4 linked regions of the Callithrix jacchus genome follow. The protein of the gene in region 3 purifies or fractionates together with the protein of the main gene of each other region. This does not show direct contact. Links are inferred from orthologs where the notes say so. Each region holds a gene or a part of one and is shown on either strand. Other genes may lie near its edges. The genes, in order: NFKBIE, RPS3, NFKB1 and NFKBIB.

The links.
Region 1: the proteins of NFKB1 (region 3) and NFKBIE purify together in Homo sapiens (affinity purification with mass spectrometry; 4 studies listed by BioGRID and IntAct, with this or other methods). This does not show direct contact. The link is inferred for Callithrix jacchus from reciprocal best matches to the Homo sapiens genes NFKB1 and NFKBIE.
Region 2: the proteins of NFKB1 (region 3) and RPS3 purify together in Homo sapiens (affinity purification with western blotting; 3 studies listed by BioGRID and IntAct, with this or other methods). This does not show direct contact. The link is inferred for Callithrix jacchus from reciprocal best matches to the Homo sapiens genes NFKB1 and RPS3.
Region 4: the proteins of NFKB1 (region 3) and NFKBIB purify together in Homo sapiens (affinity purification with mass spectrometry; 7 studies listed by BioGRID and IntAct, counting the BioPlex papers as one, with this or other methods). This does not show direct contact. The link is inferred for Callithrix jacchus from reciprocal best matches to the Homo sapiens genes NFKB1 and NFKBIB.

The regions. Positions count from the first base shown.
Region 1 is NC_133505.1:52,723,179-52,725,818, forward strand, and holds the end of NFKBIE (NF-kappa-B inhibitor epsilon), read right to left. Parts: intron 2,639-2,640; coding exon 2,399-2,638; intron 1,646-2,398; coding exon 1,580-1,645; 3' UTR 578-1,579; downstream 1-577. UniProt on the Homo sapiens protein: Sequesters NF-kappa-B transcription factor complexes in the cytoplasm, thereby inhibiting their activity. Sequestered complexes include NFKB1-RELA (p50-p65) and NFKB1-REL (p50-c-Rel) complexes.
Region 2 is NC_133511.1:65,551,275-65,555,462, forward strand, and holds the start of RPS3 (small ribosomal subunit protein uS3), read right to left. Parts: upstream 2,827-4,188; 5' UTR 2,797-2,826; coding exon 2,767-2,796; intron 1,623-2,766; exon of another isoform or gene 1,475-1,622; intron 1,324-1,474; coding exon 1,193-1,323; intron 902-1,192; coding exon 808-901; intron 218-807; coding exon 123-217; intron 1-122. UniProt on the Homo sapiens protein: Component of the small ribosomal subunit. The ribosome is a large ribonucleoprotein complex responsible for the synthesis of proteins in the cell. Has endonuclease activity and plays a role in repair of damaged DNA.
Region 3 is NC_133504.1:94,736,519-94,740,233, forward strand, and holds part of NFKB1 (nuclear factor NF-kappa-B p105 subunit), read right to left. Parts: intron 3,414-3,715; coding exon 3,219-3,413; intron 2,038-3,218; coding exon 1,896-2,037; intron 1-1,895.
Region 4 is NC_133523.1:34,465,195-34,468,153, reverse strand, and holds the end of NFKBIB (NF-kappa-B inhibitor beta), read right to left. Parts: intron 2,141-2,959; coding exon 2,052-2,140; intron 1,965-2,051; coding exon 1,704-1,964; intron 684-1,703; coding exon 582-683; 3' UTR 518-581; downstream 1-517. Other genes in the region: CCER2 (coiled-coil domain-containing glutamate-rich protein 2), read left to right, coding at 109-204. UniProt on the Homo sapiens protein: Inhibits NF-kappa-B by complexing with and trapping it in the cytoplasm.

The sequences.
Region 1 (2,640 bases), on a different chromosome or scaffold from region 3:
CCCCGGGCCGCCGCCGGGCCACAGCGCCCCCGCGCGGCCTGGAGGCAGATGCGGCTCGGATTCCGGGGAGCTGGGCTACCCCTGGGCGCGGGGAGCCCCAGCCCTGGAGAGGCGCCAGCTTGGCGCGTCCCCTGTGCTTCGTCATTGCCCTTGGCCTTCATAAGCGTCCCAGAGGTCATGGTGACCATTGCCATCTTGTGGACCGGAGACATTGAGGCTCTGCATCCCAAGCCCCTCCTCTGTGTTACAGTTTCCCCGTTTTCCGAAAGGATGGTGTCTCCTTCCTTTTTTGTCTGGGCAGTAATCCTGTCCCCCCACTTCTCATGACCTCTACATGGCCTTGCCCGCGTTCCTCGCCCACTCACCCACGCGCTGTGGAGCCCCACTGACCTGCTCTCAGTTCTTCTAATTCACTCAAGGCTTTCCCCCAAATGCTCTGCCCTCATCCCTTTACTCATCATTACATCCCAGTTGAAATGACACTCCTCAGGCGGGGGTTCCCGGGCAACCCAAAGCATGGCCTTCTCCCGACTCCATCCTTTTCCTTCCCACTATTCTTTCCCTTCACAGCACCTACTGCAACTTGTAAGGACATCTTTATTTGGATGATTACGCTTTTAACAGCTGTCTCTCTCACTGGCTGAGAAGGACCAGCATAGGACCAACCTAGCCAGGCCCTGGAAGGTGAAGAATGGGAAGAAAAATATGAAGTCACAGCTCCCTTGTGCCCAGTCACCCTGGGCTACCCTTGTTCCTCCAGATGGCAGTGCCCAGGGCAGTAGGGAGGGCTCCAGGGCCTGTGTCTTCTCATTCTTCCTCCTCTCCCTCCATCCCTCATCATTTCCACAGCAAGGACAAGGATCTATGCTGGACACAGAGAAAGGCCTGGGGACTAGTGGCCTCTGACCCCACCCAGCAAGGTCCTATCGTGCTCAGGGGACAATTGCATTCTCTCTGCCTTCATCACAAAGTCATAGGGCAGGCCTGTCTAAACAGCCCCAATGCACACAGACATGCATGCGCACAAAACAGCGCTAGAAGGGAAAAACTTTTTTAACATCTCTGCCATTTTAGTGTCATGTTACTGAAACTTCCCTTCCCCAGTCGCTCAGTTCAGAGCCTTCTCTGTGAAGTCAAGTGTTTCAGGGTCCTCAACAGCAGTAAGACAGGACCCCCCTCAGAGTTCAGCTTGCTCCTATTTCTGTCTCTTCTCACTCAGGAGAGTCCACCATGTTTCCTACTGATTGACAGTTTCCGGCTGACCCAACATGGGTAGAAACAAGAGCACCTGCCATTTTCAAGAGAGGCAAACAGGCTTCACCCAGGATACCTGGGGCTTTGGGGGTCTTCCAAGAATCCCTGTCCATCTGGAAAGTTCCTCCTTCCAGACTGGCTCTCTCTCACTTGCAGTTCCTCCTTCTCAGCTCAGGACTGTACTGGCTGGCCCCAGGCTCTGGCCATAGCAGTCCCTAGGGCACCAGAAGAGCACACAGCCTGGGCCCAAACTGCAGCAGTGATGACTTCAGCTTCCAGATAGAGAAAGAGGTTGAGCCCTGAAGATTTCAGACCCTTCCTGGCTTCAGTCGGTACACAGCAGCAGTTTCCCTGAGATCTTCAGGTCATCGAAAGGCAAAAGGACAAGGGACTGAGAAGGAGAACAGAGAGAAGCAAGATCAGAGGACATGAGAAAAGGTGACTTGGGAAAGGGGACCCAGGGAAACCTGTTGGGCCACTCCCTCCCCACCAAATGACAGTTGAAGACCATCGGAGAACAAATCTCCATACGAATCTTCAAAGTAGTAGCCTCTCTAGGCTTGGCAGAGCCCTGAGGACATAGGTGAGCCTCCCTTTTCTAAGATAACGCCAGAATATCCGGAGTTAGGAGGGACCTTAGAGATGATCCCGCCCACGGACCTGGTTTTTTGTTGTTGTGGGGGTGGGGGAGGCTGGGTACTCGGAGAAAATTTTGGGTTTCTTTTTTACACTGAACATTTAAAAATAGGAAAGACTATACAGAAAACCTGGGTTTCACCTCTCAAAAAATTCCAAGACCGGGAAAAACTGGGCCTACACTCCTGCTCTGTAAGCTTTTGCTGAAGCTGAGTACAGAGACCCTCAGGGATGGCTCTCTGAGTTCCTACAGGCCTCACCACACCATGGTCGCATACCTGGCCATCTTCACTGATTCACGTTAACTGCAGGGTCTCTGTAGGAGTCCAAAGTTGGCTCCCTGGTCATGACCAACTAAGAAAACAGGCTCAAGTTCCCACAGTTGGTCAGTGGCAGAGTCCTCGTTATAACCCAGGACTCCTTGCTCTGTGGCCCTTTCAGCTAATGACAACACCTCGCTCTGCCATGGGTGTGCAAGGCCCTGGAGAGCAAAGCATATGTCTCTTACTTCCTCAGTCAGGTCCTGGGGTGTCTCATCCTCCACGTTCCGCAGCAGGGAGTCAGCACCCGCCTTGCACAGAGTGGATGAGATGCCCATGAGGCCCCGGCCAGCTGCCAGGTGCAGGGGTGTGCACCCGTTCAGCATGCGGGCATCCACCTGGGCACCAGCCTGGAGCAGGAACTGTACCAGGCCCCGCTCTTGGGTTTCCACAGCCAGGTGCAGCGCTGTCTTCCCACTGGTGCCCTCCT
Region 2 (4,188 bases), on a different chromosome or scaffold from region 3:
ATAATCACAGGAGATTACCAGATGCTGTCACTTTGTAACAGTTCATCTGCTAAATTAACAAATGGCAGACATATATTTTGATACACACAAACGTCAGTACCATTAGGTCTCAGGATACTTACCTGCGCACAGCAAGCCCTCCTAGGAGTTTGTAACGCAGAGACTCTGCCTGAGCAATTGCGCACAGACCTCTAGTGGCCACCTTTTCAGCATAAAGCTTTAAAGGAAGCAAGGGACATTGTGTTACCATTCACCACTGTTTTCAACTGAAAGTTGAAAATCTGACATTTGTCATACAGGCATCACTTTCTACACCAAACTCGTCCAACCCACGGGCCACATGCAGCCCCGGACAGCTTTGAATGTGACCCAACACAAATTCAACATCATGATTTTTTGTGCTATCATTAGTGTGGCCCAAGACAATTCTTCCAATGTGGCCTAGGGAAGCCAAAAGATTGGACACCACCATCACATATAGCATATCATTTCAGTATCCCTCAATTCCTAAAGCACTTCTACCACCTACACACAGTGCAGGTTCCTTGCCCTCCCGCCCTGGCTCCTTTAGCCACACCAAGGACACCAGTGCGGACAGTCAAGCCATCATATGCCCAAGTTGAACGTAAAATCCTTTAACCACCATTCGTTAGCAGAATAGGCTTACAAAGTTAAGCTCATTATTCATTAAGAGAATTTCAACATTTTACCAGTCCATTTGTAATGAACAAATAAAGTCTCCAAATTGAAAGTTTTTTAGAAGTATTCTGAAGAGCCATCTTTCTCTGGCATGCCAGAATCACTCACCTCTACACTGCCCTCTGGAAAGCCAAACCTTTTCTGAACTACAGCAGTCAGCTCCCGAATCCGCCGGCCCTTCTCACCAAGAACATTCTGTGTTCTGGGGGGGGAAAGGTGACAATTCATGACTCTTACAATGCTAGATGTAACTTTAAATCTTGCATACATGTGTGGTAGCAAAAAATCTCTGCCACAAAGCATAAAATTTTTTAACAAAAACAAAAGTTAAATTTTAAAAATGCAGTTGCAATCCTACACCTGGCCTTAAAATGCAGCTTTTAAGAAGCAGTTATATTCACTAAGCCCAGATTCATTAGTTGTTTGTACCTTAAGTTCACAGAGAATAAACCAACTTAGCATTTACATAGATGGGCAGTCAAGTGGGTTTTACCTGGTGGCTAAGATGATGATTTCTGTCCTGGTTGGTGTAACTCGGACCTCAACTCCGGAATAGCCATCTTCAGCCAGCTCCCGAGTAAGAAACTCATTCAGTTCGGCTTTGAAGATGCCATCAGCGACAAACTAACCCAAAAAAAGTGAAGTTCAAAATTAGGACATCGGTGTAGGTTCACTGTCATCTGAGCCAGTCTAGTCTTACTAGTCAATGCATTCCTCACCAAAACTACCTCCAACTAATGATTCCAAACCCTTGTTTCAACAGGAGTGCAGCAACCCTTCTCAGGCAAATGCCTCTAGGTCATCTTTAGGAAGTTACTTCAGCCAGGGCCCTTTAAACAGTGCCACAGAACGCAGCACAGAGTAGGCCACCTGGGCAAAGGGAACACCCCCAAGTCAGACTCGTCATCATCTCTTCATCGAAGGGTTTAAAACAGTTCCACGTGCAAAAACACGAAACTGCTCTAAAATGGCCCATTTACATTTCGCTCAGCACAGCAAAGACACTGTACTTCTCACCGTGAAGGAAGAGAGTGTGGACTTAATAATATAGAAGCCGTCCCACTTGTAGACAAAATCTGGACCGTCTAAAGAATCCCAGCCATGTTATCTGGCCTTACAGTACCTGCTGATTTAACTGTAAACAGAGCTGGCAAATCCTAACTCAGAGTCGTGGACTTAATTTTAACATCGAAGTGTTCATATACAAAATGACAAACCGTCTATTTTTTTTTTTGAGACGGAATTTCGCTCATTACCCAGGCTGAAGTGCAATGGCGCGATCTCGGCTCGCCGCAACCTCCGCCTCCTGGGTTCAAGCAATTCTCCTGCCTCAGCCTCCTGAGTAGCTGGGACTACAGGCGTGCGCCACCATGCCCAGCTAATTTTTGTATTTTTAGTAGAGACAGGGTTTCACCTTGTTGACCAGGATGGTCTCGATCTCTTGACCTCGTGATCCACCCGCCTCAGCCTCCCAAAGTGCTGGGATTATAGGCGTGAGCCACCGCGCCCGGCCTCAAACCGTCTATTTTTAAAGCTAATGATTTTTACAGTTTTTTCTCGTGGAATGATAAGACGTTAAATCCGAGGCAGCTTCCTCCCGGGGTCCTCAGACGGAACAAGCTACCGTCAGTAACTCTTCAGTTGAGATTTGGGGGCCAGCAGATTGCACCCAAACACGACCAGTAAGAAGGTAAGAAACCTTCCCCTTCCCAAAACCACGGGGTAACACATGAGGGAAATGACACACGCCCTCATGTGTTTAATTAGGTGGACCAAAAAATGCTCACAAACGCCTTCTCCGGGACAGAAGAGGCGCCTGGTGCCCATCTCTCTGAGCTTCACTCAGAACCGGAAAAATATGGTTCTCTCCCTTTCCCGGCCTCACAATGCTCGCCTGGCTCGGGCCTCTCACTCAATCCACCTGGATCTGCGGCCCGCAGGAACGCCAGGCGGCCTCAACCGCTTCCTAGGGCAGGGCACAGAGCCGCAGGCCTCGCGGTGGCACCTCGGGAAGCCCTTGACCCGCGTGGCGCCATCATTTCCCAAGCACAGGCCCCAGAGACTCACCTTCCTCTTTTTAGAAATTTGCACAGCCATCTTGCCGCCACACTCCGCCGAAAGGAAAGGAAAGGAAATGGCTCTCGGGCGGAAATGGGTAAAAGGGCGCGAGCGACGACCTACGGCGGCGCTACGTGGACGCCTGTGGGTGTTCATGGGAAATGTAGTGTTTACGTAGAAGGCGTCTGGGGAAAGAAGAGTGTTGGTATCTCTGCAGGCAGAAACAAGAAAGGGGGTTCATCCAGCAGGACTTCTAAAATGCAGGGGAACTTAGATATCAAATTAACTTAGTTTAAAAACAAGCAATGTGAGGTGCAGAGGTGGAAATTACAGGTATAAGTTCACACAGCAAGAGTTTAACCAGCGTGGAACTCTGACCCCTATGGGTCGACACTGTAATGAAAATTTGCTGAAAGCCCTCAGTGAAACTCATTTAAGACTCCTCTTTGGGAGGCCAAGGCAGGCGGATCACTTGAGATCAGGAGTTCGAGATTGGCCTGGCGAACATGGTGAAACCCCGTCTCTACTAAAAATACAAAAATTAGAGTGGTGCCGGGTGCCTGTAATCCCAGCTACTCGGGAGACTGAGGTGGGAGAGTTGCCTGCGCCGTGGAGGCGGAGGTTGCAGTGGGCCGAGATCGCACTACTACACTCCAGTCTGGGCGACAGAGTGAGACTGTCTCAAAACAACGACAACAACAACAAAACCTCATGTCCCCAGTCAGTGCCCCTTTCCTCCGTTCCAAATGATAATAATAAAACCTGATATTTACTAAGCATCCTAGGGACTGTGTTCCGTGTCCTTTTTGTTCTCATTTACCCCACCTTGCTTTCATCAAGTCCATTATAGTTTGTAACGGAAGTCCCAGAGGGTGGCTCATGTGTGCATTTCTATCTTTCTCTCTTTCTTTCTCTCTCTCTCCTTTCTTTCTCTCTCTCCTCCCTTCCCTCCCCTCCTCTTTGTCTTTCTTTTTCTCTCCTGTTGCCCAGGCTGGCGTGCAGTGGTACAATCTCAGCTCACTGCAACCTCCGCCTCCTGGGTTCCAAGCAATTCTTCTGCCTCAGCCTCCCAAGTAGATGGAATTACAGGCATATGCCACCATGCCCAGCTAATTTTTGTATTTCTAGTAGAGACGGGGTTTTACTATGTTGGCCAGGCTGATCTCCAACTCCTGCCCTCAAGTGATCCACTCGCCTTGGCTTCCCAGAGTGCTGGGATTACAAGCATGAGCCACCACGCCCGGCTAAAAAGAGGCTTTCCAATGTGCCACACTCCCTGGCAGCACCACTCGATTGTTTTCTGGTCCTAGAAGCCACTGGAGTGTTTAATAACTCCAATACTAAAACAACTCTGACCTGACCTATAATCATGAAATTAACAGAGTTCTATAGGAGCTGAGCAGAGGAAGGGACCAGGGAAGATGGGACCAG
Region 3 (3,715 bases):
AATGGATGATCTCAGGGTTTCACTATTGCTTCTTGAAATGTGATACTAGAAGAAAACTTCTGAAAAGGGCCTCAAATGACACAGACATGATGCACATATACTAAGAAAAAGGTCATACTTCTAAAACTGCCCGAAAATTTCCATGTGCAGCTCAGCATTTCATAGCAGAAGTACAATCCCCCTCCCCCTCAAATCCTCACACCCTTATGGGAATTTCCCCAGTACCAGAAGTTTTATATATATATATTTTTATTGTATTTTCTATGATGACTAATGGCCACAGGATTCAGACTATTAGCCAAATATGACAAGGTGAATTAAAAGAAGAGACTTGCCAAAAACCCAAAATGTATAATGTGCCATCTTAATCTTTAAAAATTTTTTATTGATACATTATAACTTTACATATTTATGGGGCACATGTGATATTTTGATACATACAATGTGCAATAATCAAATCAGGGTACTTAGGATATTCATCACCTCAAATATTTATCTTTTCTCTGTGTTTGAGAACATTTCATATCTTGTCTTCTAGCTATTTTGAAATACACAATAAATTGCTGTGGAAAAAAAAACAAAAGACTTGGGCTGTGATGGCCAAAATCTGTCCTTTACCTATGCTCCTATGAGGATCCTTTAGTCTCTCCAAGTCCCACCTCTGTGGTCTCTCTGAGAGCCTGCCTGTGTGAGTGTGCTTGGGTCTTAGGAGGGAACTTGCATGCGCCTCGCCTTTTATCCCTTCCTAGAATCCTCCCTTCAGATATCAGCACTTCCTTTCCAACCTGTATGTGCTCATATTCTTAGACTTATCAATTCAATGGGTCTCTGGAAATGTCACTTGAAACACTGCTGTCTTGTCTTGGTTAACTGCTTTTTCTTGTGGTTGTGCGTGACTGAATGCTAACTGGATTATTTAACCCTGAAAAAGCATTCTGTTGTTCATGGCCTTATACCAAAAAGGTTGTACTGGTTCCTCTCATACTGTATAACAAGGCCAGTGGTTATACCACATCCTTGGTTACATTGCAAGGAATGAGAACAAAGGTCTCTCTGTTTGAAACCCTGAGGTTGTTACTTTCCTTAAGTGCTTGGTTTACTTTTTAAACTGAGGTCTAAAACACAGCACTCAAGAGCTCTTCCACAGAAAAGGATTTATCTGTGTTGATGCTATTTTAGGAAGCTTCTAGATAAGGCACTTGACTTGAATGTGAAGGCTGCTGTCTCTTGTTATTTTTATAGGCTTTTGAGATCATTTCAGAAGTCTCAATGAAAGGACTAAGAGAACTGTTTTAGAAAGAAGCCAGGTGGCTTTGCAAATACAATCTCAGTACTAGCAGGAATGGAAGGCATGGTATCTGGAATGCTCCACTCCCACACACGGGCTGGAGCAGTCACAGAAGTCTGAACCAGTCTCAGACTGGTGACCATTAGCAGATGGAGTAGAGAAGAAACCAGTAACTGGGAAAGAAGAACCAGTCCCTCTTAAGTATTCGTTGTTGCTGCCTTTATTGAGCTCTTTCTTGAGTACACTGTCATTATAAAAACGCAGCTGGGATAACAATGCTTCAGGGATTTGGTAGGACTTGTTATTATTTCAATAAACAAAGCAAGTCTTTTTAAAAAGTACCATTACCTACACACATCTTAGTTTTCTTGCCCAGAGAGATTCACTCTTAGATGAGTCCTCCAACTATTACAGATTCCAACAGGTGACAGCAGGATGGAGCAGCAAATTTTGCTCTGGTTACCGTACACATTAGTTTTCTTGATTGTTCCAGTTAGAGGACTCAATACATTTGAAAAGTTATTTTTTTATCTCTCATCTGTATACATTTATAAAATGCTCTTCTTCCCTGCCCAAAACAGCCCATCATACAAAAGTCCTGACTTACCTGTCCCCATTCTCATCCTGCACAGCAGTGAGATGGCGCTGGACAGCCAGCAACATCTTCACATCTCCTGTCACTGCATAGTCGAAAAGGGCATTGGCATGCCTCTTCGCAAGCTGCATAGCCTTCTCTAGAAAGAGGTTATCTGTAAGGCAATGACCACAATCACAGCTGAGTTTCCTTCTTTTGTTCTAACAGCAAGGCATGCTTGAGGCCAGACTGACCAGCATCGGTGTTCTGACACCTTGACACATCACTTTAGTTGAAAATGCTCCTTTCAATGCTTTTGGATTGTGTTGATTAGAAAAAGCAGAATTGGACATTGGGTCAGTGACAAATATTGTTAGAGATTGATCTTAAAGAATCTGTGTATAGTTTGTTAAAGGAAAAAAATTTAGAGATGTCTGTTATTTTAAGGTGAACAATTAATGTCTGTTATTTTAAGGAAAACAATCTCCAAATAATGTTAGATTTTACTGTAATTTTAAATCACCACATCTCTTGGTGAAATAATCCTTCATTGGAATCTCTAACAATTAGCTTGTTAGGCAATGTGTGGAAAAACACACATCTCTGCTATAAATAGAAACTTTCAATGAGACACTCATGATTTTGTAAAGTTTGTTCCATTAAGGTTAGAGAATTGTGACCTTTGGGCCAAAACCTGTTTACGACCTGCTTTTCATATGGCTTCCTAGCTAATCATGGCTTGTACATTTTTAAAGGGGTGTAAAAGAAAAAAGAATATGTGACAGACACCAAATGTGGCCACCAACTCTAAATATTTACTACCTTTCCTTTTACAGGAGTCTTCTTAGTACCATCTAGGATGATCTAGAATCATGACACATATGCTAATAAGTACTGGTTCAGAGTAAATGCAAAAGTACATTTTCTCTTAATCCTCCTCCTTCAAAGAAGGCAACAAGATGAAAAGAAAAGTTCCTATTTTAAGGCAAAGTTCTACTTCAGTATGACGGTTAAGCCAGATTCTAGAGAGGGTGACTATTAAGGTTATGGAAATACTTCTCTATTTATCTGTGCCAGAAAAGAAGTTGATTGTCTCTCACAATACCCTAAAACTGCATGAATATGACTGGAGAATGTACATGTAAATTTCTGTATATTCAAAGATAACAGCAAAAATGGAATTTCCAGTGTGAATAAAATGATCTGACACATGCTTTTAAAAAGGCATACATAACTTTGAAGAGTACACTGAACTAGAAATTGATACATCATCTTTAGATTAGCAGATATATTTCTATACCTGGGACTGACCCCTCCCTAGCTAACCAACAGAACGTAACTTGTGTGCTCACTTACCCTGAACCTCAGCATTCTCTTCTTTGGTTCCTGTTGCATACGTTAGAGTGACCTCACCATTCCCATCAGTGGCCTTGCTGGGCTCCTGATCCTGCTCTGTGGTTTCAGTGACTTTTCTACAGAGGTTTACAGTGTCTCTATCATCACTTTTGTCACAACCTTCAGGGTCCGTTTTAGATTCACTGTCCATGGCTCCTAAGATAAATGCAAAAACATCAGCTTTTTCTCAGTAAAATATATCAATTGACAATTCACTATTCCAACATAGGTCAGATAAAGGTTAGAAGCAAATTTGCTGAAAAGGGAAAAGAAATAATTTGAAATTCTTTAAAAAAAATGGCCGTATCATAAATTCCATGTTTTGGTGATATTCTAAACTCTCATTCCTAAAAATAACTTTTCAGTCTACTTCTGAAATCTTAGATCTCATTTTGCTTATTTGTAAAGAAGAAAAATGAAATAAAGCTCTTCTGTGAATTTCAGGAAAGCTGAATTTT
Region 4 (2,959 bases), on a different chromosome or scaffold from region 3:
ACGACTGCTGCTGGCTGCCACTGTGAGAACCGGCATGGCCCACGTTCACAGTGACTGCGATGGCCTGTCTTTGAAGGTGGGTGCTGACCACCACCTTTCTGACCCCAGCAGGAACAGGAGGTGGAGCGGCTGGAGCACTTGAGAGACGAACTGAAGAAGGTAACGGAGACGCTGGGGGAGCAGCAGCTCAGGAGGGAGGGCTGACCCCTGCCTCGAGCCCTCCTTCCTCCCGACACACCCTGTGGCTTAGGTCTGTTGACCCTGAAGCCTCCACCTCACCAGCACCCCACAACACCCCTACTGGAGCAGGGGAGAAGATGGGCATGCCTTGGAACCACACCTGAGTTGAGCAGGGGGCTGGGGTCAGCCCTGACTCACGAAGCACCCCCACCCCCATGCATTCCCACTCCAACCCTTCTGAGTAAATAAAGCACAAAGAAAAGCACCCTGCCTCCGTGATGTGACAGGGATGAGCCCCAGAAGGACCTGGAGGACCGGGAAGATGAGATCAGTCTGGTTTCTGGTTTTCAGAATTGGGGTTTTATTTATTAAATTGGAAATTATATTAACAATCAAATGAATCAGACAGGGCGGGGGTCGTTAGGAAGAGGTTTCGAGGCTGGGGTGGGAGGCAACCGGGTTTGGCAGCAGCCGCTGTGAACCACAATGTCGTCGTATTCATCCTGGGGGCAAAGGGGACCAGGCAGAGGAGCTCAGATGTCTTCACAGAGCAGCCTAAGAATTGTGTCTTGCCCCAAATTCCCTTGCTCCTAGCTCTCAGAACTCCATTTTCCTTTTTTTAATTTTTATTTTATTTTATTTATTTATTTTTGAGACGGAGTTTTGCTGTTGTTACCCAGGCTGGAGTGCAATGGCGCGATCTAGGTTCACTCCAACTTCTGCCTCCCGGGTTCAAGCAATTCTCCTATCTTAGCCTCTCAAGTAGCTGGGATTACAGGTGCCCGCCACCACGCCAGGCTAATTTTTGTATTTTTAGTAGAGATGGGGTTTCACCATGTTGGTCAGGCTGGTCTCGAACTCCTGACCCCAGGTGATCCACCTGCCTGGGCTTCCCAATGTGCTGGGATTACAGGCATGAGCCACTGTGCCCAGCCAGAACTCCATTTTCAAATTTACTTCTATAGTCGGAGCTCTAGCCCAGCCGACACTCCAGCATTCTGGCAACTAAGGTGGCCCTCCTCCACCCCTTCCCTCTGCCTTTACCCGAATTACTGCATGCCCGTCATTCAGCCCCGCACCTTGCCCAAGGTCAGGTCTGTATTGCTGGGTTCTCTGACTACATCTCTCCCACCTCTGGCTTGGGTCCTGCCCTACCGCTGCTGGTGTTCAAATCACTGCCACCCAAGGTTGTCTTTTCATAACCTGAATTCTCCAGCTCCGACGCTGCCACCCACCCTGCCTGTGTTCACTATGACCAAGGTCTTTTCTCCAACTCTGGCTGAGTTCTACTTTTGCCACCACCTTAGCTTTTCAGCCACGTCTGCCCAAGCTCTTCCCACCGCCCCACCCAGGTCTGTTCTTACTAGTGCCCCATGTCACTGGTGCTGCCACCTGCCTGAGTTCTCCAGCAGCAGCAGCCCAAGGTCGGTCTCCACGTGCACCTAATTATCTTCTCCTGCTTCCTGCCTGCCGGTCTACCCTGACCCCCCAGCTGGGCAGCCCTGTCTCGCCTCCTGACTCACGCCCTCATCTCCGCTGTCGCTGTCGCTACTGCTGCTCCAGGGGCCGGGTCTGTCGTCCTCGTCCTCAGGCTCAGGGGCTCCGTGTTGACGGAGGAGGCGGGCAAGGATGGGGTTGGGCCGGAGCATGGCACTGCCCAGGGGAGTGCAGCCACCGTACATGTGGGCAGCAGGGTTGGCACCTGCCCTCAGGAGAAGCTCTAGTACATCGGCCGCCTGGGCCTCCACTGCCAAGTGCAGGGGGCTCCGGCCACACGTGGGCTCCTGTGGGTGCAGCAGAAGGGTCAGAGGGCCCAAGGAGGGGACCAGCCCCCTCCTGACGACAGCAGCTTCCCCCAGGGTGGTGCTCACCGGTTTGTTGAGGTCAGCTCCGGCATCTCGGAGCAGCTGGACCATCTCTGCATCTTTGTGGATAACAGCCACGTGGAGTGGGGTGTGGCCTGGGGACAGAGTGACGCATCAGATGATGGGGTGAGGGGTCCCCCATGCTTTGATCCTGGGGGAGGACCACGTGGCCTGAGGGTGATCAGGTGTGGGGCTGGTTCCTGAACCTTTGGGTATGTCAAAGAGGTACCTGGGTCCTAAATGTGTGTGTCGGATGGCCTTAGCTTGCCGGCAAGTGCTAGAGCCTGGGCTTTGAGAAGCCTGGGGCTCATGGGTGAAGAGCCTGGGGTCTGTGGATGGGGGGCTGGGATGTTGGGGCCAGGAGACCTAAGTCTCTGCTCTTAATTCACAAAGGACCTGAGCTGGTGCGCTGGCTCATGCCTGTAATCCCAACACTTTGAGAGGCCAAAGCAGGCAGATCACAAGGTCAGGAGATCGAGACCATCCTGGCCAACATGGTGAAACTCCATCTCTAGTAAATCCACAAATTAGCCGGGTGTGGTGGCAGGCACCTATAGTCCCAGCTACTCCGGAGGCTGAGGCAGGAGAATTGCTTGAACCCAGGAGGTGGAGGGTGCAGTGAGCTGAAATCACACCACTGCACTCCAGCCTGGTGGAGAGTGGGACTCCGACTCAAAAAAAAAAAAAAAAAAAAAAAAAAAAGGGGGGGCTACCAAGTGGCTGAAAAGCCTGTGATCTGGGGGTGAGATGCAGGCCCTTAACAATGGGTCCTGAACGACCTCAGTCCATCTGAGGAGGGGTCTGGTACCAGGTGGGCAGGCTTATAGGTGAGGGAGCAGAAACTTGGATGCCAGGCTGTGGGCAGGTGACTCCTTTTTCCCATGAGGCAGAGGAGGGCTGTCCCTGCTGCCCAT